3 linked regions of the Oreochromis niloticus genome follow. The protein of the gene in region 1 purifies or fractionates together with the protein of each later gene. This does not show direct contact. Links are inferred from orthologs where the notes say so. Each region holds a gene or a part of one and is shown on either strand. Other genes may lie near its edges.

Region 1 (8,015 bases):
TAGTGCTTATGCCATTTATTACCAATATTCAGAATAACAACTTACATAACTATCATTTTACATCATTAAAAAAAAAACAACAACCCAAAAACCTGAAACAACTAACAACATAAAATGAAAGAACTGACGAATGCTCTCATAATAATCAATGAGAGCATTCTGTATTGGAAAAGACCCAATCATGTGATCTGCTCATGTTGTTGCACAGACTCGTGCACACAGTTTTAAGTGTTTAAGTATACTCATTGTTTTTCTTTGTTCCCAGTATTGAGAGCATTGATTAGCATAACATTTGTTCAAGTGCTCTGGTGGAACAAGCCAGTCACTGATCAAATTTGGACTGTTAATGAAGCTGTACCAACATGCGACTTTGCCCGTTTGAAACAGAAGAACAACTTGTGGGGAAAGAACTTTGGAAACCTGATTTTGGACAAAGTCCCCAAACCTCTGGTGCCTTTGGGCAGGCGATTCTATAAATAGAGTTTTTATGTCCTGGTGATCATTTAAGCCATTTTCAGTCTCCTCAGTCATTTAGGTAAGGGCCTCAAAGTAACTGCCCAAATAAGTGACCTGAGGCGTTACCAGAGCAACTTGCAGGATTCGTGTTTAACGACTTTGGAAATATGAACTTATCTGCAGAGCTTACCCTCTACAACATCAATGACGCAGAGACCAAGCAGGGATGGTATATGATTGGCAGTGGCAGTGTGAACTGCAATGGCCCCTCCCATGCTGTGTCCAATAAGCATGATTGGAGGTGGGTTGTCTCCATAAAGTGCCTCCACCACTTTGCCAATATCCCTTTGGGGAAGAAAAAAAAAGAAGCAGCAAGAATATAACCTGTCAGCCTGTTTTTCGGTTATGATTGAAACTCTAATCAGGAAGCTAGTAACTACATTTTACATTTTACACCGCAATCAATAATCCAAATGTTAGCCACAGGAAGTCACCACACTCTTCCCACGTTTAATGAGCGGTGAAACCAAAATTTTCTTAATTAAACTCATGCCTGCTGGATCATCACCACCTTCTGTGGCGTCCCATATGTTCCTGTGATGTAAACCCAAGAAGCAGATGTTTAAAAATCATTCCCACAAAAACTGTGTTCTCTTAAAGACTTACTTCGCCATCGTGTCCGCAGAGAGATCCTCAGGATTTTTCACTTTAGTGTCACCTGCAGGCGATGACAGAGATTTAACTCATTTGTTCCATATAAACCGAGGCAAAGAATGCAATAATCCTCAAACCACGTGCAAAGATAAAAACTTGCTGTGTCCTGCAACCTACCATGAGCTCGGAGGTCCATAGCTACCACCCTGCAGTTAATCCTGCTGTATGTGATGGCCTGCAAGAACATAGATCGAAATCATTTCAATTAAATAGATCACAGATGATATGTTGACATTAAAAAAAAAACAAAAAACAAAACTTTATAAATGTTCTTCACAACATTGCTGTTAACTTTAATGTAGACTGCTAACAGATCATAAAGCGTCTGTAATAGTTATGAAGCTCACAGTGAACACCGCCCAGGATAGTGCAGAGTGGCCTCCTCCGTGAAGCAGGAGCAGCACAGGACCATGGGAACCACTGCAGTAAATTCTGAAAATGTTCACAGCGGTCAAAGAAATACTAATTGAAAGAATAATGAAGTAAGCAGATGCTTGTCCAACAATAATGCACATTAATCTTCTGCATATATTCTAGTCATGTAGCACAATGATATGAGGAGTTAAATCTGAAGACTTGGACCCAAAGTGTGTGTCATTCATGCTCAATTTCCTCTTACAAACTGGAACAGCAGTCAAGGATATATCTTTGCCGTTTTCATTTTCCACCACCACGTCTTCCATGGTTTCAAAATACTGACTCCAGGGCAGAGGGGAGAAATCTCTCTTACGCCCAGGTCTGTAATAAAAGAACAAAAGTAAATAAGTAACCGAATCCATATCTGATGTGATTCAACACTGCAACAGGACTGTTAAACTTTGTGGAAGCAATTGAAAGACAAAAATACTCCAGACTAAAAATAACTCTCCCCTTCTTTTCACATCATCAAACATTGCAATAATAAAAAATAGAAAAATAAACAAAAAGAAAAAAAAATTAATAAAAAAAATAACAAAAAACAAAATAGAATTTAAGCATAATCATCATGTTCATCTGGCAAAGGTAAAGGAAAGGTGTGTCAGAGCATTTATTTTACGAATTCATTGTAATTTGTTGCTGATTAAAGTATTACAGAGTTAACAGTTCATTTATATTCAAGCCATTTTATAAGATACACCTCGCCAGTACTGAGCTGGACCCCGCTTTACTTCACAGCTTCCTTAATTGTTCAAGGCATAGATTCAACAAGGTGCTTGAAACATTCCTCAGATTTTGCTCCAAGATGACATGATAGCATCACAGCTGCTGCACATCAATAATGTGAATCTCCCTGTTCCACCCCATCCCAAAGGTGCTCTATTGAAATGAGATCTGGTGACTGTGGAGGCTATCTGGGTACAGTGAACTCACTGTCATGCTCAAAAAGCCAGTTTGAGACGATTTTTTACACGGGGCGTTATCCTGCTGAAAGCAGCAATTGGATCACAATGATCCCTTTAACACTTGTGTTTTTATTTGTTTTACTTCACTCTTCTGCTGGCTTAGCCTTATTTCTCCAGAAAGCACGGAGAGTGCTTTGCTTTGATTTAAAACACGTCCTGGCATGCAGTACTTGTGTGAAAAATAAGAACAACAATAACAACAACTGATGATGATGATGTTAGCCTTCACTAGATACGCTATGCAAATGGAAACAAGAGGTGGCACAAACCCAGCATCTTTAAATGTTGACAATAACCTCTTGGAGAACTAAAATAACTTCAGACACAGATTTCATGCCTTGTCACGAATGCTTCCGCCCTCACAAATCACATTAATTTTCTACTGACACTGTTTTTCAGACTTAAAGGATATCCTTTTAATTTTAAATGCTAACACGCAAAAGCGCCAGGCTAAATCAATCAGTGGTGTACAACACTGATTATCTCATCTCTAGTAGCAGATGCAGCTAACCTAGCCGGGCTAAAGCAATCAGTTAAGCAGTGCAATTCAGTGACAGTGTAAATATACGATTACACTTCCTGGCTTTGGGAATAAAAAAAACACAACCGGCGTGATGGTGCACACAACTAAACGTCACGATAAAAAAAGCTGCTAAGATCCTAGCTAACTCACCCCATTTTCATTTTGGAGCCAGACTGAAAACCACCTGCCATGGGAGGTCTGGAGGCTAACAGGTTCAAATGCAACTGTTTCTCCATGTTGTCAAAAGTGACGCCGGTCTTTGTCAGGAACTCTTTGATGTGACCTTCTCTCGCTTTCGCAGCATATGATTATCTTCGACACCTACACCGATGTTAGCCAGACATTGGTTAAACTGCGTTTGCCTGGCAAGCTAACGGCTAGCGTCCTTCTTCTTCTGCAGCTGAAATGACGGTCTCTTTTTCTCAGATGATTGACGCAGATTATTTCACAGCATCGTCGCCATCTACTGGCTACAAATTCAACTGCAATTCAAAAGCGGCTTACACTTCATAGCTTTCAGCAGTTCGGAGTACCGTGAATGAAAGTCAGACTGCTTCCAATAAAGACTGAGACTGATTATTATGAACATCAAGTGTAAACCCAGTTAAGTATACTAGCGTGATGGCTAGCGCTGTCAGTTTATAGCAAAAAGGATGTGGGTTTAAGTCCATCTGCCCTCTTTGCAGACTGCATTACCTGGCCTCAACGTACCTCAACCTAAAGTTATGCATGTTTGAGAAGAAGTGATTTTAAACTAGCTGTAGGTTTGAGTAGTTGTCTGCCCTGTGACAGACTTGTGCAGGTTGTATCTCCCCCTCTTGCCCCGTGACAGCACGAAAAGCCTTCCCCCGTTGTGATCCCAAACTGGATAAATGGAAGAAAATGGAGTAATGGGTAAAAAAAACATAGATATTTTAATTCCACCCATATTTTTGGTCAGCTAAATTTTTGGTCAACTAAATTCAAGTAATCTTATTTATTTATTTATTTTTTGTAATACTAAAGCTGTTTTTCATTAACAATGGGATTATGTTAACAGAACTTAAACATGCTGTTTTATGCTACCCTAACTTAATACTCTTAGACTATTTTTATGTGATTTTAAATAATAAATAAACAGTGTAGAACTGTTATTCCACTTTAGTTACTTAGTGAGCAGTAATGTAAAGGAGTAATGTAATTAACTGCCTTCTCAAATTCAACAACAAAGTTACAGCTGCTGATTCTCTAACTGGTTACAAATAACATTGACTTGCATTAATTTTTTGTAGCAAGCAATGATTCACTCTTCATAAACATCACTGGGCCTGTATTGTTACACTAACCAGAGGTTAACTTTAGTCATGAAGACACCTATGGTGTCACAGACATAGACAGCATCAAATCTTTTCACAGCTTTGCTATAGTTACATTAAAGGAAAATGAACTGTGAACATAAATGAACCAACAGCTATAAGTATGGTATACATGATCCTCTATTCTGTCTTCCAAGAGCCAAACCTTCAGCATGTTCTCAAATCACAAACACCGAAACACAACTTTGTATACAGCTCTGTATTTAAAAGCAGCACTTGAAAAACTCTGTTGTGTCACAGTCTGCTGCTTTACGTAGGTCGAATGTTCAGGTCAATTCAGTTTGATCTATATAGCACTAAATCGCAACAACAGTTGCCTCAATGCGCTTGTTGTGAGCTGGACCCAAATGTAGATGCGTGAAGGCAGAGTAAGTAAAACAAAAAGCGAGAATTCAGAAAAAAACCCCCCAAAACAACAACACTCCTGTATTTATATATATGCGTGTGTTTTAGGTCAGTAGTATATATGTTTTTTTAGCTTACTATACAATTCTCAAACACAGACTGGCAGCAGTGCCCGTCCAAGAATGTGACCCACTATGTCCCGCTTCCTCATAGTAATTTTAGTGCTACTCAGCCTGTGAACAGAAGTTCAATGTCTTCCAAAGCTCTGTCTGTATGACAGTGGGCGCAGGCAGTTTTAAAGGTGTGGGTGTTTCCAGTGAGAGAAGGCATCAAGTTACATTACTTGACATGTAATTTTTAAAGCCTGACACATATAAGGTGCAAAAGTAAACACACACATTCCAGTAACAAAAACTGTTAACAGGAAATTTAAGTTGTTAAAGTGTGAAACTTTCCAGACACTGAAGTCAAGCGACATAGTGAGAGACATCAGAGCGAATGAATTGCAGTTATGTAAAAAGAACATGTTATGACAGCCGGTTCTCCACAGTTGTAGACTTGTTAATTAGAACGAGAGGACGGGAACAGGTGCTGGTGAGCAAACATAATGAGTCGCATGTAATTTTAGGAGGACTCAGCTGATTATCATCCTAATCAGTCAGCACTGACGCACGTTTTAAGTAGGGCAAAGGTCTCAACACTGAGGAGTATCTGCATAAAGAACCTTTCCAGTTATCTTTTTAAATACTAAGTTGAATTTGTGATATTGTTCAAAAAAGCTCTCTGGAATACAATATTAGGCCATTTTCCAGACTATTCAAGCATTTTTCATCATGTGCTTTACATGAACACTTTTCCTTCCGTATCTTCTCAACAGTGCTTATATTACATTATAATCTCTGTGTTTGTTTTGTAACCCATCAACTCCTTAACAACATGTGTGATCTGATCTTTGCTCACTGATCTAACCTAATATTAGAAGATATCATATAGCCAGTGAGAGCCAAAATAAGCACTACGTTTGAATAAAAATGCAAGCCAAAGCTAAATCCAAACAGTCTGCAAACCCCTGAGTCATCTCTGCTATGTGGAGCCTTTTGCTGTCTTAGTGGAATATCTGTTTTGTGTACGGTGAAAAACTGTAAGTCAGCATAAATGATAAAAGCTGTTGATGAAGTTGGAAAAACATATAAACTTGAGGTAACTACAGATATTAAAAATAAGCTGTTTTAGTGTCCCTTTATTCTTTTCCCATTTAATCATCCAGTGAAGCAGAACCAGGACAATCCAAGTCTGAGTTGATTTTGTGAATGAAGCAAACATGCTGAGCCATGAACCTGTGCCCTACTAACCTTTAAGTGACGCAGCGGCTGACCTTATTTATAGTGTTGTGGAGGATTATTTATAGTGTTTCTCAGCACTGATTTAAAGTTCACAGTATTCAGAGCACAGGGGTGATCGGGTCTGGGGGCTCAGTGTCTTTTTAAGGGGAGGTCACTGCAGACTGGTTGAAGCCAGCCCACTGACTTGTTTACTGGCCCGACTGTGTGCTTAAATGTTTCTCACAGAGTGTTCCCAGGAAACTGTTTTTAGAGAGCAGGTGGTGAAACCACCTCCACCATCTCCTTAACCTTTTCGTGGAGTACAGTATAAATGGATTATTACCTTTCAAATGTCCTGTAATGTCGTTTGACATCACAGGACCCAGTCTGAATATGTTTGCTAAACGTAAATATGTTCTCACTTTACTAATCTCCACCGAATGCCTTGTTTAATATAGAACCTTTATAGCTGTAAATATGAGGAGTGGAAAATATGCAGGTGTAGGGCTTTACTTTGACCCTGTTTACCAAAACTACTTCAGAGTTTCTGAGTAAGTCGTCACACTGAAGATGAATTATGACACTGTTTTATGTGTACAGGGCAATATTGCTATAAAGCAGCAGTTTATGGGAAAGAGGATGTTCACAATAATGTGCAAAAGTCTTGAGCTATGGAAATATAGTGTATAAGTCAAAAACTGAATTTATACAATTCTGATAAGGTTGAAAGTCAGTATTTGGTATGACTGCTTTTATTTTTCAACACAGCCGGGCTTTTCTGCATTTATAATTGCAGCAATTTTGATAAGATTTCAAACACCCCTGGCTGCAATGAAGCCCCAAACTATGACAGAGCATCCACCGAGTTTTACTAATGGCTGTAGATACTCACTGTTGTACTTCCCTCTTGATCTCCTCCCTACACATACTGACAATGATGTGAACCAAACAATTCCAAATTCAGATTCAGATTTTCAGTCCAGTTCTTGTGTAATTTGGATTACCTCAGCCTTTTCTACCTGTTTTGCTTCCTTGAGAATGATTTCTTGTCAGCCATCCTTCCACTGAAACGATTTCTGATGAGGTTTTAGTGAAGAACAGGTGGATGATGAAGGGTCGAGTTCATCATCCTGTTTTTTCATAAAAAAAAAAAAATCATACTATTTCTAATCCGGTTTCTGTATTTAAGGACAACCTTCACACCATGCTGGGACAAGTTTTTTGCAAATAGCTCTTTGGAAATCACCTTGTAGGTGCAAAAACACGATTTTATATCAAACTGTGTTATCTTTGACATATTTTGTGGATTGAACAAAATAAATGAGAAGAAATTAGATATTTTTGTGACACGCTTACCAAAGATCCTAATGATACAATTCAAAACAGGCTCTTTGCTAAGTTGTCTTAGGTGTTAATTGCTTTAGCTGGGTGTGTTTTCTAATTCATTATCAGGTCAGTGTTAAGTGACTTAACGAACAAAAAACATTCTTCTAAAAATGGTTAAAAGACTGGAATGAATATAAGCAAAAAAAGCACCCTGGAGAACTCTGGCTCAGTAGCACCAGGTCTTATCTTAAATAGTTATCTTATCTTGTCTGGCTCCTTGGAAGCAAACAATAAAGAAACAAGGGAGGCTCAAGACTTTTGCACAGTACTGTTACGGTTACAAAATTTAGTAGTGTTGTTTTGGGGACAGAACAACTTCCTGACACATGCTGCAGCAGGTGAATCCTTTGATATTCGGAATATGAGGCTGTGATTTCTGACTTGAGAAAAACTTGGCGACCTGTGACCCAGAATGCAATGGAAAGTCACATGTAAGGAAGCATGCACTCACAGAGAGCCGACACCCCCACCTACAAAGAGTGCACCTCCTCCCCCTGACACTTTCCATTTGGCAGCTGCTCCTCCTGTTGGA
Region 2 (8,417 bases), on another chromosome or scaffold:
CAGGCCATCACACTGATAACACAGAGAGGCAGACAACCATTCACAGTGGCCAAAGGGAAATTGGCAGTTAACCTAACACGAATGTCTTTGGGACATTTGGGAGGAAGCTGGATTATGTGGCGAGAAGCCAAGCCCCCAGCTTGCAGATTTAAACCCAAGACCCCATTGCGTTGAGGTAACAGTGCAAACCACTGCACCACCATGTTGCATAGAAAATACTGCATATAACATTTTTTTTTACCTTGATTGAAGCCATAAAAAGTCACAACAAAAACTAACAAAATGAAGCCAAAATGAATTCATCAATTAATAAACAAACGAAAAACATGTCTTACCAAGTTTCTGTTCATCACAATGTTTTTCCGTTTTGTTTTTGTTCTCATTCATAGGTTTCCTGGTGATCACTGTGAGAATGCAGTTTGTATGATTTCCATAAGCCATTTGACAGTTTGCCTTTGTTTCAGTGTTGTTGAAGGGGACGTGAACCCAACCTCCTGTGCAGTTCTTTCTATCTGACATCAACTCACAACCTGAAGACAAATATTCAAATTATGTTGGTCATTTAACAAAACAAATAAGCAAATTAATTTATCAATTAGGTGCACAGTTCTTCATGCAACAGTCTTGAGATACTTTATTAGCAGAGCATGCTGTAAACATTGCTGTTTTTATTTTTACTATATAGGCATGATGCTGTGACCAGTTAGTATTTTTGTTATGATTCAAAGTGTCACTACTGCAAAAGCGAACTTCTGCTTCAATATATAATGTTACAATTAATTAATATACCATTAAATCATGTTTATTATTATTATTATTGTTGTTGTTGTTGTTGTTTTTCACAGTTGCTAACAAAATATGCAGTACATGTGAAAAAACTGCTTCCAGATTTCTAAGGTTTTGTTTTGTTTGTTTGTTTTTGCATGGATTGGTTTAGTCATGTTTTCATTTCTCCTTCCTCTTGTCTCACCAAGTCCACAGTTCATGGACTTAAACTACAGTGCTTACTTAAAAAGCTTTATTAGACCACCACCCATTGGTGGTGGTGGTTTTATAACACGGCTACCCTAAACTTACAGCATTGGTAATTACCAAAGTAATGTTTTATGCTTCTGGTTAATCTGTGAGCTCTGTAATCAAAATCATATTTTTAATGTTAAAATATAATTTTTCTTGTTATACGTGAGTTTATAAATTTTATGTTTTACTATAAAGCAACAACAAAAAAGTAAATCACATCCAAAATTAGCCAATAAAAACCAATTTCAGTAGTAATTGTCATGCTTGTGCCAGCTCAAATTTCAGTATAAAAACTTGAATTCAGTTTGTTAGCTAATAAATAACAACAAGTTTTTAACAGATTTCTAAAATGTTTGTGTTTTCTTGTTTTTAGTGGCAGGTGCCCTGCATACGGGCAGAAGTAAGTCCCACTGTTGTAGGTGTGTAAAATCAAGCACGTAGGCATGCAGACTACAAAGGTTTGTAAAAGAATGGGTCTCTGTATTCAAATAAGGCACTGTAATAGGATGCTACTGTAAATTTATGAAGTTTCATAGTTAATGAAACTTTTTCCTTCTTAGATATTCACAACAACTGTAAATGGTATGATTGCTCATACAGTTTTAAAGCAGAGTCACTGTTTGCTGAGCCACTAAGTCAATGAAAGTTTCCAACACTGTATTAACTCAATAAATGAGGAGTTCCAGACCTCTTCTAGCATTAACATCTGCACAAAAACTGTGCACTGAGAGCTTCATGGCATGGGTTTGGCAGAGCAGCTCCTGTGGGTGTAATATGAGGGTGGCCTAATATTTTTATCCATATAGCTTAGGTCTCATAAGCTGTCAGTCCTTATCTCTTCTGACTGGCATTATTAATCCCTGTGTCACTGTAAAAAATGAGTTTTTAGAGAGTGAGGGCCTTTTTAGACCTGTTTCACGGTCATTGATGTCATGGTGGAAAATACGACATGGCATTTGATTTAATCCTACCATAAACACATTAGTGAAACTTTAAAGTAATGTGAATAATCATGATCATCTGTCATAATGTAATGTTCTTTAAAACAGAAAGAAAAGTCATGGGTAACATTGTAGTAACATTCAATATTAGAAGAGTGAAAATGGCTCTTGGCTTTTAAAATCTGTGAGAATTCGGTAACAGCAAAGATGGGGCAGAGGTACAATTTTAAGAAAAAAAATAGACTTTTATTGATATACAGTGTCGTAAAAGCCTAAGCAGCAAACGGTGTGGAAATTAGCTGCGGCCAGAAGTCCTATATGATTGCATCTGTTGCATTTAGCTTAAATGCGACAATGTTAATATGTACAGTCCCTGTTGTGTAAATATATGAAGTACAAAATACATAGTGTAATACCTATTTTAATCATATTTAACATTATTTACAGTATAATGATTTGTGAATAATATCAATTAGGAGTTGGTCATAGTCTTTTTACCTGTCATCGTTGAGAAGATGAGTAGTAGCAGTGATGTCATCATGTTGGTTTAGTCGCTTCTTTAAGATCTTTAAGTGGAAATTATAAACCTGCAGTTAGTTTGCTTTTGTTAGCCTGTCCTGCCTATCTGTGGGTCTCTGGTGATTCTTGATTTTTTTTGTCCATCCCATCTTATGTTACTGAAAAATGAACTTGCCCCGCATTTCTGACCACAAATCCCCTCCCCATTTCTTTAAGGTTAGTTTCTTTATCATACTTACATCACCTTTTGCAGTAGAGAGGAAGCAAGCGGTTTATGTGAGTGTCAGAATGAAAATAACACTGAATAGGAAGTCAGAGTCTAACAGATATATTTATTTGATAATATAATAGAAAAATACTTATAAAGAGAAGAGTCTCTTTAATCTGCACAGTTCCTTAATTGCAAATTGAAACTGGACTGCTCAGCGCAAAAATGTTGAAATCCAAGAAAATGATCTGAATTCTTCTATGCTTTTTTGTACATTTGATGCATTTTGGATAGAGATGGTTATATATATTTAAAAAGTTTGCTTTGGCCCACTGACTGTTGAGTGGAGATTCTTCTCTGTTGGTCTGGGTGGTTGAGTGACAGTTGGTTTGGTTGGACAGTCATCTGACCGCTTTTTAACTGAAGAAATACGTTCCTAACATGGTTGCTGGGGAAGTATAAATCAGTATGCCTTATTATACTATACAGTGTATACAGAAAAATTTCCACACTGGCTTCTTTGATGTGCTTTGCTGCAGTGTCAGCTCCTGTGTTGTTTGAACATGAAAATTCTGGCAAAAGGGAGCGAGCAAACAAGCATATTAGCATTCAGTAGCATTTGTGTGATTGGTAGTTTGGTTTTATTTGATCTTATTTAATAGACATTTACCAGATATGACGGAGATTTAACAAATGTGACCAGGAAATCTGAAAAACATTTATATTCACATGCATCATGCACTATATCTGTGACACTTTAGATATCAGTAAGACTGAAGAATGATACTTTGGTACAATAGTATCAGACAATATTTGACACTGAGTGGGTATGTATTCTTACTGCATTTATTCCTTTTAGATTACTCAAATGTACTAAGGTGTCACTGTGGCTTAAGGTTCATGATTTCGACCATGAGCTAAAACCTAAATCTTTGCCTTAGATCTATATACATTCAAAATAGTGTTGAGAGAATCTCATACAGGTTGCAGCAGGCCTCTTTTTAGGAAGTATTCTTTGATGTGTCATTCAAAAAAAAGAAAAGAAAAAAAAAGAGCACAGGTATAACTGGTAATTTAGATGGCTGCCATCCATCTAGGTGAACTGGTTTGAATAAAAGGCAGTAAACACGCTGAATCACCTTCATTGCATAGCCAGTTGATAGAGCTGAGTCATTGTCAATGAAAATCTGTTTTAACTTTGTTTTTCTGGCTATGACAAGTCACTTTTTTCTGGTATAAACACTCTCAACTGTTCATGTGCCAAAGAGTTACCAGGAAACGAAGGGAGGCATTGATAACATCATACACCTGAGCTTTTCCTTCGCTAATAACTGTAAAACTAACTTCCTCACAGGGCCCTAGTAGGTGAGATTAATTTTACTTGGAAGAAACGTTTTTTCTAGTTACGCTTACATTGACGCATAAGGCTCTGAGGCTGAACTCTCAGAGACATCCTGCTGAACAAAGATGTCAGATGCATCTACTGCAATTATTACTCAGTTTATTTCCCATTCAGTTGTAGTTTAACTCAGTGGAATCAGTGGGTCATGCAATGACTACATTTAATAGGCAGTAAACAAGATAGTAACTCATAAAATCCACCCAATGTGAAATAACTTTTGTGGACATTAAAACAAATTAAAAACCCCTCTAAAATTTATTAAGAAATCTGAATTTCTGTTTTAAACTTGGAGCTTTCGGACTCCACTTTCTAAATTCAGCATGCGTCCGGGGTTAGTTCGATTTTCTTCACTGAAACAATGCACATGGGCGGGGTCTAGCAGTTATACGGGGTTTTATATTTTAAAAACCTGCTTATTACCCTTTTTATGAATTTAAAGCGCAGTAAATCAAGTGACCTCGCGGTCTCCGCAGACAGGAAGATGACCAACGTCTCTGAGGGGTAGGTTTAAAATTTCGCGGCGCACCCTCTCACCGCTCCCTGTTGACTGCTGAACGCCGCCCGCGTTTCGCCATTTTGAAAGTGCTGTAAAGAGGCAGAGGCGAGGGAACTCTCAAAGTAGAGTGCAAAGTCTACAAGCCAATAGTAGGCATTATTAATTACTTTGTGTAAAACAGTTCCGTGGTGCATAGCAGGGCCGAGGACTTTTGCTTACGTTCTTCAGAGTACCAAGCAGCACTCCCGGCTTCATTCCTGCACTGCTCCTCGCTAGAACCTCCCAGCCGACCCGGGTCAGCACTGTTCCAGTCCAGGGCCCGAGCCCGCTTAGATACCCCTCTACGAGTCGCTCACCATGGCAGGTAAAATCACAGGGGAAAAGACTACCACAGTGGCTGGGGTTATTAATTAACAGGTGCTGACCTGTTTGACAACGATGATGGGTTTCTCTGTTATGTCATGTTTAACCAGCGCAAGCTAGCTAGCGAGCTAGGATAATTCAAAGATGCCAGTGTAAGTCAGTGTTAGTGTTAAAGTGAGCGGTATTCTCCACAAACACACGTAAAGTAGTTATCTGTGCCTATGAGTTTATAGCAGCAGTTGCAACGCACAGTTACTGTGAATTTCCTTAAGGCCTCGTTGTCATATTGATGTTTTTAGCTAAGTTAGCTGCAGGCTAACGCGTGTAAAGTTGTCCCTCTTTAATGGTGGTGTGTCCAATCTTGGGGTCATGTTGTGTGCAGGGCCTGGTGGTGGGAGCAATGATGTGCAGTGGTGCTTCTCCCAAGTCAAAGGAGCAATAGATGACGACGTCGCTGAAGGTAAGTCCATGTGATAGTCACTGAACATTTGCTAGCCTGAGCTGCCAGGATCACCATCCTGTGCACGCTTGTTTTAGGCTTTTCTTCAAAGTGCTGCTGCCACACTTTATATTTGTGGTATTTCTAAATATGCAATGAAAAGTAATGCCTTCTTTTTTAGAGTAATAATGGGTATAAGGGATCAGTGGTGTGGTATTGTAGTCCATTTGGTTTCTCACAGACTGACAACAGTCTTCTATTTTTGGCATAATTGTGCTAAATGGCATTCACTATTTTCTCCGTTCACCCTGGGTATTAGAGGGGTATTACACAATGTTTACATGATTGGGAGAGAACTGCATGTTAGAATTGAAAAAGATTTTACCTCAGCCAGACAAGAATCTTTAATAGGCGTTTCATATTTGTTAACGAAGCAGCACTTACATTTGACTAATTACAGATCTGTTTGAGTGGCCAAGTTAAAAGAAAACCTTTATCAGCTAATTATTTCCGAACTAAAGGAAAACTCAAAGCACCAAAAGTGTGTTTACAGTACATGGTGGCCATATTTATGTATAAAGGGCTACCCATTTGTTTACAGTAAGCTTTGTCTGGGAACATGTATAAATGAGAGCCTCTCCTTGTGTCAATACATAGGAGTACATGGGCTCAAAACACAACACTCCAGTAACGCTTTTATTAGTTTCCTGTAAAAAAGGATTCGCCTTCAGTCTGTCTGCTATTGTTTTATGGGGTTGCATGGAGTCGGGTCGTATCAGGCGCACACTGTCGATGTTAACGACTGCACTATAGTAGTGCCAGTGTGTAAGTGGGGATTGATTGTTGTATTGTAGGACTTGGTGAGAATGGTTGTCTTTGAAAAGTGCTAAATCTGAAGCTGAGGATGGAAACTTTTTTTCTGTTCTTTTTTCCTTTGTGTCCTAAGATTGTTGAGTGTACGTTTAGTTTCACCAGATCACAGCTCCGTCGAGTGTGTGTGTATAAATATGTGTGCGTCATTGCTGTGTTGTGTTTTCACCATGGTTGACATGATTTTCACCCCTCACAGGTGGGCTGCTGAGGCATTTTGTAAACCACTTCCCATTGAAAGGCAGTGAATCATTTAGAGAGCAATTCGATTTACAATAATTAGATTGACAATAGCCTTCATCAGAAACTCTGACAAACAATGTATGGTTATTTATATTTGATGCTAGTCTCATTTTTGCAATTTTTATTATTGACAGCTGATATCATATCCACTGTTGAATTTAACCAATCTGGAGAGTTACTTGCAACTGGGGACAAGGGAGGTCGTGTTGTCATCTTTCAGCAGGAGCAAGAGGTATGTTTTAGTGACACATAGAAACAGTACATATTTTTAACATTTGATTCATAATACTCTGGAGCAGGTAGGTCATCAAACTCAGTTTATATAACACAAAGACGTACAGGTAAAAGTACAATGTTTCTTGTGATCTTGACCCGAGACATTGAATCTTGGTTTCATAACGCTTGAACTTTTGTTTGATCTGTTTTGTATTTAGAGTAAGAATAAGCTTCAGTGCCGCGGAGAGTACAATGTTTACAGCACCTTCCAGAGCCACGAGCCTGAGTTTGACTACCTGAAAAGTCTTGAGATTGAGGAGAAGATCAACAAGATTCGATGGTTGCCTCAGAAGAATGCAGCACATTTTCTTTTGTCAACAAATGGTTTGTAAATTACTTTCTTTTGAGTAAATTATTGTGCTGTAGTAAATGTGAACTTTTGTTACGCCATCTACTGCCTTATATGGGAGTAAATATAACTCAATGACTCTCATGGTCTTTGCTCTTTCTCATTGGCAGACAAAACCATAAAGCTGTGGAAAATTAGTGAGCGTGACAAAAGACCAGAGGGCTACAATTTGAAGGAAGAAGATGGGCGATACAGAGATCCCAACACTGTCACTACACTACGGGTGTGTAGAACTGGCTTTATTACAGTCCAGATCTTTTCTTTGGTTTGACATTGTTAGCCAAAACTGAGATGCTTTGCTTACTTTCCATTCATTTATGAGTAGATCAAGAAAATGAACAGCAAATTTAATATGTTGAGTCTGGTTAGTAATTTACATCTGAATTAGTTGGAATAAATGTTAATCGTTTCTTTCCCGTGTTTCCTTCCACTCATTACAAAACTGTTTGTTCTATTTTTGATTGAGACGTTGACTTATCTTATGAGCAAGTAAACAGATGGAACTAATAAAATTACCAATCTGTTCCTGCAATTACTGCAGTGCTGCAGTTGATGTAATGTCTGCTTTATTCACCTTTAATTTTGACAGACCCCCCCCCCCCCCCTTTTTTTTTCTTCTTGTGGTTGCTGAACAGTTTCCAAATATAGACTCTGTTCAACAGGTTTGCGTTTATACTGAGGCAATGCCTTTATTTCTTTGTTTAAAGGGCAAGTAACTGTCCCCATCTTAAAAATGGGTAAATCTATGTACATTTTGACCTACATCTTTGTGCCTCTTTACCAGGGTAAGAAAAATAATTTGGACACTTTTTAATCTTTTTTTTTTCTTTTTGTAGTGTGAAATTCCTTTTTTTTTTTAAAACATGCCTGTGTACATATATTTAAAATCAAGGTCAAAAAATCTACTGCATCTCCCATTAAAGAAATGTAAAAACAGCCCCACTTTTGCTTTCAGGTACCAGTATTCAGGCCCATGGACTTGATGGTGGAAGCCAGCCCTAGACGAGTGTTTGCCAACGCGCACACATACCACATCAACTCCATCTCGGTCAACAGCGATTGTGAGACCTACTTGTCTGCTGATGACCTGCGCGTTAACCTCTGGCATCTGGAGATCACTGATCGCAGCTTTAGTATCCTTTCATTCTTTAATTCCATAAAGTACTGCAATAATATAAAATTATTCTGTCAGTGTTTTGTCTTATTTATTCCCAGTTTATCCTTTTTCAAAGGAGCGTAAGCCAGGGAGAGTACTTTAAAAAAAAAAAAAAATGTATGTGAATGTTATGTG
Region 3 (8,081 bases), on another chromosome or scaffold:
GTGTCATCAGAGTAAGTACACTGTTTACTTGTTTGATCTCAAACTGTATTCAGTCAAACAGCTACTGAACCTGATTTCTGTGAGCAGGGCTTGTGGAGGTTTGTGCTTCCACTGGGAGTGGTCTACTTAACCGAGTATTTCATCAACCAGGGTTTGGTGAGTCCTCTGGTGCCCTCTAGCAGCACACTCAACTCACTGCACGCTATTAAGTGAAACTTGGCTCTGATTTTGTGTGACGATGTGAGAATATTGAACCAAGAATATTTTTTCCCCTCTGTAAGATGGAACTCCTGTTCTTCCACAATATTTTCCTGACCCATGCAGCTCAGTATCGCTGGTCAGTGATCCATTACAGAGAATATTCAGTATGAATGACTTCATGCAGATTGTTTGGGGTGTGCAGCTCTACTTGTTTCTTGTTTGCATCCTCAGGTATCAGACTCTGTACCAGCTTGGTGTACTGCTCTCTCGATCCTCTCTGCGCTGGCTGAAGATCAGGAAAGTGTGGATTCTCAGTGTTCTGCAGGTGAGAAATGAGAATAAAATACAAATCAGCACCAGAGGGATGTCTGGGTTAAGCTCAGCTCCCTTTTTTGGACAAGGTAGAGGAGCTTAACCTGCAACTTTCTTCTGACTGGCTGCTCATTACACACAATAGATTTGAACATCGGTATTTGTGGCTGCTGTGCTCAAAGTGTGTACACAAATCTGTGTGTATGTAGTGCATATAGAATGTTGTGTACAAATCCATAATCAGTCATGAGGGAGTAGACGAAGCTGCATTAGTGCAGTGGTAGGAGCAGCCAATAACAAAACGGTGTAGCAGCTGTCCTCAAAAAAATCAACAGCACACACAATGATCCTCATCTAGTAATATTTACAAGGAAACGTTCGTACTATTTACACAGTGACCCAGCCCCATTTCCAGGTGAAACAGAGAAAGTGCTGATGATGTTGTATAAGAGAGAAGCCTGCACCTCTAAAGGAAGAAATAAGGAGAAAATCTGACTGTAGAAAAAGAAAGAAGCCAGGAGAGGTGCGGCTTTGCAGAGTGTTTCAACAACTGTTTAGGAAAAAGTGACACCCAGGCTGAAATAATAGGAGAGCTCAATAAATGATTTTTTTTTCCATTACATCATCAAACATTACATAGTTTATGGTTTGTTTTCAGGTGATTGAATAATTTTTGTTGCTTTGTGATGCAGATAACTACAGCACATGCATATGGGGTTGTTAAATGTATACTTTACAAACACTGCTGTTTCTCAGAGCTGCTTCTCTCTCCTCTCCTCAGATGCTGAACGCTGTGTTTCTTCTGTTAGCTGTACGTTACCTGTTCCTGCCCACTGTTTGGTTGGTGTTCACTTTTATCCTCTATGAGGGTCTGCTGGGTGGAGCAGCATATGTCAACACCTTCCATTTCATCAGCAAGGAGGTAAAGGACAGCTTCAGAGGCCCATTCATATAGTTTAGAATCTAGAGTATTCTAGACAGTCTCGATTTTTAGGAACCTGGACAATTGCATATTTTCTGTTCTTCGACCTCTGTGCACAGCTGCATTTCATTTTCAATCTATTCACGGATGCATACACACTCGGCAAATGTCAGCTTGATTATTTTAGGAGATTCAGGAGGTCATTACAGAAGCAGCTGTGCACTGTTGAGCTGTTTTCATCCTACAGTAAGTATGCATCCATCTCAGAGTGTCTTCTCTTTTCTCCTACAGACTGAAGACAGACACAGGGAGTTCTCCATGGCTGCTGCCAGCGTTGGAGACAGCCTGGGCATAACTGTGGCTGGACTCATATCTCTTCCTGTCCACACTTACTTCTGTTCATTATAACCAAGCCCACACACTGACCAGCACGATGAGTAAGCAAAACGTGGGTGCGTTCGATTTTTAAATCGGAACTGGGTTGGAGACAAAAAGCAGACATTACATAAAAATGTCAATATGAAGTCATTGACTCCACATCCTGTACTTGCTGCATTTATAGATACCAGCAAGTGAACTTTATAGAAAGCCCAGAGTCCAAAAAAGGATTTTTTTTACCTTCAGCCAGAGATCAAATAATATCAATAACATCCTACCTACGATCACAGAAGGTAAACCTGAAACACAGATCAACAAAACCGATAGGACAGAAAATATTCATGTGTTGTTTTGATGACCAGTTTCTTTGTGGCTTTCCTTCATGAAAAACCTTCCAGTGGTTCACAGAACAAAAGCTTTCAATGTGAAACAAGATCGGGATATATTTCAATTTGACATAATGAATAAAAGAAATATAAATGCAACACATTTTAAAGTCACAGAACAGGAGATGTAATCAGAGTAATTTTACTTTGTTTTAATTGTTGTAACTAAAGAGTCATCTTAAAGTATTAAGTATCTCTGAGCTGCGACCAGGCAGCCAGTATTGTGTAGGAAATCACTGCACACCAACCTTCAACACTAACATTTACCTTAAAATCTAAACTGTTATTTTACTGACCTTCATTTTAAAATTAATTCCTCAAACTGAGCTCTGGGCTCAGAAACAGTGCTATGAATGACTACTCAGCTAGGATGTGCCATTACTATTTTCAAACTATTTTAAAAGTCAGGGAGCTCAGTCACTGAATGCTGCAATTATATTTTTGGGAGGTGAAATTATAAAACTATTGATTTCAGGGGGCAAGGATAGCTCAGTAGGTAGAGTTGTCGCCCCATGATCGCAAGGTCGGGGGTTTGAATCCACTGACCAGCTACCCTGAGCAAGGTACTGCTCTCCGGGCACTAGATTGGTGGCTGCCCACTGCTTCACTGAGTGAATGGGTTACATGAGAGGAATTTCCCCACGGTGATCAATAAGGTATACATTATTATTATTATTATTTGAAGAACCTGTGAGTAAATATAATGCTGAAGCCTGAGGGCTCTCAGTAAGTGTCTTCTATAATTATTAGTTCTATAGTTAAGTTTCATTCATGTTAATACATAAATAGCAGAGATTACTTTCCTATTTCAGTTGTAGTCAAACGTTTGCAAACACTCATCATGGAAATGAATCTGAAATTTGGGATTTTCATTATTTTTTTGACATAGGTGACTTCAATCTTACTGAAAAATTGTGGACTATGCTTAAAATCCAGGTTGGTACCAGGAAACCAAGAGAAGAATAATGGTCAAATATAACGTCAGAATTATGCCTGATTGAGGTGCAAATTTTTCCAAAATAAATTCAACCATGTGCACCCAATTCTCATTTTTAAAGTCTTTTTTTGCAGATGCATGCTGTAAAATCATTCCTCTCTGGGAAGAGAACAATTCAAAGAAATGATTAAAAGTCCAAAATTACCATCACATTCATGTCCATAATGAGTATATGTAACAAAATGAGCAAAAATGCCTTCTTTTATAGGTTTTAATACCAGGAGAGCATTCAGAGCTTTAAAATGCCACTTGTTTCAGATTTGTACAAAAACAATGTCACACACAGATTTGTTTTTGTGATGTTTATCATGTGCAGCTTGACATCATTTTGCTTAGCTGTGACTTTTTTGATTCTAACGAAAGACTGCTTGTTAAACTGTGGCACAGTTCGTCACTGCAGGTGGAGCACAGAACACCTGGGAATGGCTGAGATGTGAAACAAAGTTGATTTTAATATTTTTGTTGTAAAATAAAGAAAATAGAGGTTGCTCATGCCGTCATGCTGACATGTATTTTGCTAAAATTCTTGGAAGCACTTTTGTTATTTTTCTTGTAACATTGTGGACTGTTGAATTTGTTTTCTTTTCTTGGAATGCAATTTATGTCCTTAAATACTTGATTCATGTGTCCTGTTTTCTTCTGAACACTCAAACGCAGACCGACAGGCACAGTCCTACTGACATTCTAATGACCACATAAAGCTAATGCTAAAGCTTAACTGGAAGAACCTTGTTACAACGTAATATTGTTTTTTAATCTTCAGCTTGCTTCAAATCAAATTTTACAGGAAATCAGAAATGAGGTTCACTGACTTTGCTAGACTGCCAGTTAGCTATAAACATGTGGTTGTCCTTTCTTGCACAGAGAGCAATGACATTTCTAATTGTACTTATTTTTTCTTTGATATAAAGTGTATGTGTAAGAAACTGGAATGTGTTGTGCTTTATTACTTCTAGTGATATAAGATAACATAGGTTGGTGTTTAACTGGGGTGGTTCCTAAACCATTTATTGACCTAATATTTCATTCAAAATCATTTGGGGGAAAAAGTAAGGTTGCTATAGTCAGCAATCTGCAGTATTTTCTCTGCTGTCCACTTTTTGTGCCTAATATATCAGATAAATGGTTGTAGAGTGGAGAATTTATACGGCAGTATCCCAAAGCTATAGGTGACGTTTCTAAGCCAAAATGAATTAAAATGTATAATGTAGGTTACTGTTGCATAACACACGTTTCATGTTAAACTTCTACTTGAACTACATTACATTTCATAGTGGAGCACAGACCATCACACAAAAACTTTAATTCTTTATAATTAAATTAAAAGGGTATATGATACCTTCATTACAAGTCAAATATTTCAGTATTTCAATATTTGTTTGCTTTCAATGATAATGGTTTATAGGTGAGGGTAATCAGAAATCCTGTATTAAAATATTAGAATATTTCTTTTCCAGGGGATCGGACAGCCAAGGCCTGCTTTTGGCCTGCTTTTGACCTCTGCTCAGTCCACACTGCACCAGACCCACATGAACCTGCTTGCTTATTGTGGGGCCATAGGATGGCTCGAAATTAAATACTGTATTTCTGACTTTATATCGTGTCCTTAAACTTGACCAAAATTCTAAGAAAGGGTTTTGAAATACTTTACATACAATGAATTTAGAGTTTATTTTAAAAAATAATCACTTAAAAACAGAAAACAAAAGTAAACTTTTTCATGATATTCTGTATTTGGGATGGACTAGTAAGCGATCTGTAAATTACCACTACAGTGAATGTCGGCTTGAGTAGACTGGGTAGTGCGCTTCCTATACCGGAAGTTACAGCCGACCTGCAAGTGTTCATGAGCACGGCAGGCGTAAACCGGCAAAGACGAGACCGGGGGAAGAAGAGGGGCCAGTGAACAGCGAGTGAGCCGACTATCTATGGACTGAAACATATTAACGTTGGTTCTTTAACATTTCGTTTGCTTGCTGTTTTTGGTTATTCGAGTTGAGTCGTTTTTAAATTGTGTTGTTCGCATTAGCTAGCTTACTGGCGACATTAGCAGTAACCAGCGTTGACGCCGAAAACCAAGTAAGTTAGCCCAGGTCGGCATCGATTAGCCCGCTAACATGCAACATTTCAACTACGCTTAACTCATTGTTTTTTTCCAGCACATAGATTATGTGTAGTTTGTTGGTATCGACTGTCAGACATTTTTGTGAAGCATCTGTTCAATTTCCCAAACAAAATGGTTGGCTAAGTTATCAAAGAATCAGTTGTTCGCTGACGTCGTTAGCTGTGATGTAAGCTAGCGTGCTAATATTAGCTTACTGCTACGCCCCGAGGCCTTACATTCCCTAACGAATAACATCAGTTTTCTGTGGAAGACTACTTTTATGTTAGATGTGTACAAACTAGTGTTATGACACACTCATAGTGGTGTGTTAAATTGGCGTTTAGTTAGGAATTTCTATGTACGATCGGGTCTTATTTATCACACAGCAGACGTTAACTAAACTGGATTATCCGCCTACCAGGTTGTTATTGCGATGTTTAGCTCGGAATTACTTCGGTTGAATAACCTCATTTATGTTTTCTGTCTGCAGTTCGTCACTCCGAGCATCGTCGTAGCAATACCCTGACGTTTAAGAGCTGAAGCCCCCCGGCTGCTTTCGAGGAAGTTATTGTTTTGGCTGTTCGCTCTCGGAGCCACATATTTAAGCGAGCCCAGTGTGTGAGAAGAGGAGTGTGTGCCTGGTGTGTGAGCAGCTCTCCCTATGTGTGTGACAATGGGGGACATCAGTGATCTGGACCGACAGATAGAGCAGCTCAGACGCTGTGAGCTCATCAAGGAAAATGAAGTCAAAGCACTGTGTGCCAAAGCTAGGTAAGAATCGGTGTGCTTGGACCAACAGTACTTTTATTTCATCAATTATACACTCTTGATTCAAGGCAGAAAACTGTTTAGCTGTTGTCTTATATTTGCATACTTAAAGAACGGGAAGGAAAATCTTCAGGATTGCGAATTAAAACATACTTTCAGAGGGGTGAAATTTAGTGGAGCCTAAATATATTTATATGTAATGTTCAAAAGTAATGGGGCAGCCTCTTTGTCTTGACTATATGTAGACCAATGGCTACTTCGGCAAAGGGGTCACTACATGGGCAAGCACCGCATGTTTGATTTGGCAGAGTTTTACAGATGCCAAAAATTGATTAACTAGACTAGCAAGACCTGCATCAGACTCTGAACAGTTACAGCTAAGAATTTTAAAGAAAATATATTTATCTACTAACAATATATAACAGGAATAGTTTACGAGTTGTTAAAACCTAAATCCTCTGGTGACTGTTAAATGTCTGTGCACTGTGCATATGAACATGCTACTGGGTATGTTGGGTAGGCCTTGATCATGCGGTTTCTATACACAAATGCACAGTAAACAACACAATATTTTTTATTTAAAGTTAATATTTTAATCAATCACCATATAAATGTTACGAATCCCACTGTCAAGTGCTTGCTCATAGAGGCCCATTTGATTGTTTTCTCTGGGGATCTGACAGGATCTTTACTGTATCAAGCACTTTAAGGGCAGTGTTGTTGTTATTTGGTGCTATACAAATATAATAGAATTGAATTTTAGGACTCTAGGTAGTTTATAGGCTAAGTTTAATCAAGATTGAAGATCTTGGAGGAGTCCGGGAAAAAAATAGAAACACATATTTGGGCTACGATCATTATAGGATAAGGCAAGACCAATCACAGGCCCATTGTGAACTAGGAAGAACTGGGATAAGTCTACTGGATGCAAACTGCCATACGGGCTCATTAAATGGAGCCTTATCCTGACTGACCTTTGTTAGCCAATCAGCTGCTCCTGGATATTATTAAATAATCAAGTAACTCAGATAAGGATGATGGAGACACAATTTGATCAATCTGATCTTAATTTGAAAAGATTATTGTGGTTGGTGGAGGAGCTTAGTTGATGGGCCACGCCAGAAGCTGTCACTGGGCTTCAGAGGTGATGGCAAAAAATCGATCTGTTTAGGTTGGATATTTTTCAAGTTGCAGTCAAATTTTGTTTGTGATAATGTGACAGACCTGTTGGTCTGGGTTGTTACATCACCCATCAGCTGTGTTTCTGGAGTCACACTAGGAAACAGTCGATGTGGCCACTAGGGGGTGCTTGTCTGTAACTCAAGGATTGTTTTATTTTATGTTCTGCTGCTATTCTTGTGCTGTATTATTGTGCATTATTTGTTTCTTAATAAATACACATATTTTTATTCCTTTAGAGAGATTTTGGTTGAAGAAAGCAATGTCCAGAGAGTAGATTCTCCTGTTACGGTAAGTAACATCTACTCACTGTTGTCTCCGAATTTGCCTGAATGTCAGTTAAATGTGGTAATAATGTTTCTCCTGTTATTTCTTACAGGTTTGTGGAGATATACATGGTCAGTTCTATGACTTGAAAGAACTTTTTAGAGTAAGTTTTTTTTCTTTTTGTTTGTTTTTAAAATCTCTTTTGGTTGTCATTGGGTTATATTTCAATGTTTAAGTATGATACTGGACAGAGATGTTTTTCTGTTGCTGATTTGCAATCCTGCACAGCACTACTAAACCCAGTTGGTTATTAGAAATAAATGCAGCTTTTTAAATTTGATACTGTTGCCTTGAGTTTGAGTGTGTGACCATACCGAATACTGATTCCATAACTGTATTAAATGAATAATTCGTATTCCTAATTCTGAGGAAAATCTGGGTATCGTTCTTTATGTGTAAGGCAACGAGACGCTCAGCTTTCACACTGCGCTCCTAAATTCATCAATAAATATATTTAAGAATATAAATCTAGTGAAAAGGTATTAGTAAAATGTGTGTGTATGGGGG

The links. The genes of interacting proteins can lie anywhere in the genome.
Region 2: the proteins of ppme1 (region 1) and ppp2r2aa purify together in Homo sapiens (affinity purification with mass spectrometry; 3 studies listed by BioGRID and IntAct, with this or other methods). This does not show direct contact. The link is inferred for Oreochromis niloticus from reciprocal best matches to the Homo sapiens genes PPME1 and PPP2R2A.
Region 3: the proteins of ppme1 (region 1) and serine/threonine-protein phosphatase 4 catalytic subunit B purify together in Homo sapiens (affinity purification with mass spectrometry; 3 studies listed by BioGRID and IntAct, with this or other methods). This does not show direct contact. The link is inferred for Oreochromis niloticus from reciprocal best matches to the Homo sapiens genes PPME1 and PPP4C.

The regions. Positions count from the first base shown.
Region 1 is NC_031975.2:10,562,971-10,570,985, forward strand, and holds the start of ppme1 (protein phosphatase methylesterase 1), read right to left. Parts: upstream 3,498-8,015; 5' UTR 3,312-3,497; coding exon 3,226-3,311; intron 1,909-3,225; coding exon 1,815-1,908; intron 1,611-1,814; coding exon 1,518-1,610; intron 1,346-1,517; coding exon 1,288-1,345; intron 1,175-1,287; coding exon 1,123-1,174; intron 802-1,122; coding exon 647-801; intron 1-646. UniProt on the Homo sapiens protein: Demethylates proteins that have been reversibly carboxymethylated. Demethylates PPP2CB (in vitro) and PPP2CA. Binding to PPP2CA displaces the manganese ion and inactivates the enzyme.
Region 2 is NC_031977.2:12,397,016-12,405,432, reverse strand, and holds the start of ppp2r2aa (serine/threonine-protein phosphatase 2A 55 kDa regulatory subunit B alpha isoform), read left to right. Parts: upstream 1-5,318; coding exon 5,319-5,409; intron 5,410-6,635; coding exon 6,636-6,733; intron 6,734-6,935; coding exon 6,936-7,101; intron 7,102-7,236; coding exon 7,237-7,349; intron 7,350-8,081; coding exon 8,082-8,259; intron 8,260-8,417. Other genes in the region: uncharacterized protein LOC102080115, read right to left, coding at 336-530, 2,460-2,502. UniProt on the Homo sapiens protein: Substrate-recognition subunit of protein phosphatase 2A (PP2A) that plays a key role in cell cycle by controlling mitosis entry and exit. Involved in chromosome clustering during late mitosis by mediating dephosphorylation of MKI67.
Region 3 is NC_031969.2:3,488,207-3,496,287, forward strand, and holds the start of serine/threonine-protein phosphatase 4 catalytic subunit B, read left to right. Parts: upstream 1-4,982; 5' UTR 4,983-5,109; exon of another isoform or gene 5,110-5,144; intron 5,145-5,225; exon of another isoform or gene 5,226-5,275; intron 5,276-5,790; 5' UTR 5,791-5,961; coding exon 5,962-6,071; intron 6,072-7,486; coding exon 7,487-7,538; intron 7,539-7,626; coding exon 7,627-7,677; intron 7,678-8,081. Other genes in the region: battenin, read left to right, coding at 1-11, 88-156, 282-337, 433-526, 1,295-1,435, 1,727-1,843. UniProt on the Homo sapiens protein: Protein phosphatase that is involved in many processes such as microtubule organization at centrosomes, maturation of spliceosomal snRNPs, apoptosis, DNA repair, tumor necrosis factor (TNF)-alpha signaling, activation of c-Jun N-terminal kinase MAPK8, regulation of histone acetylation, DNA damage checkpoint signaling, NF-kappa-B activation and cell migration.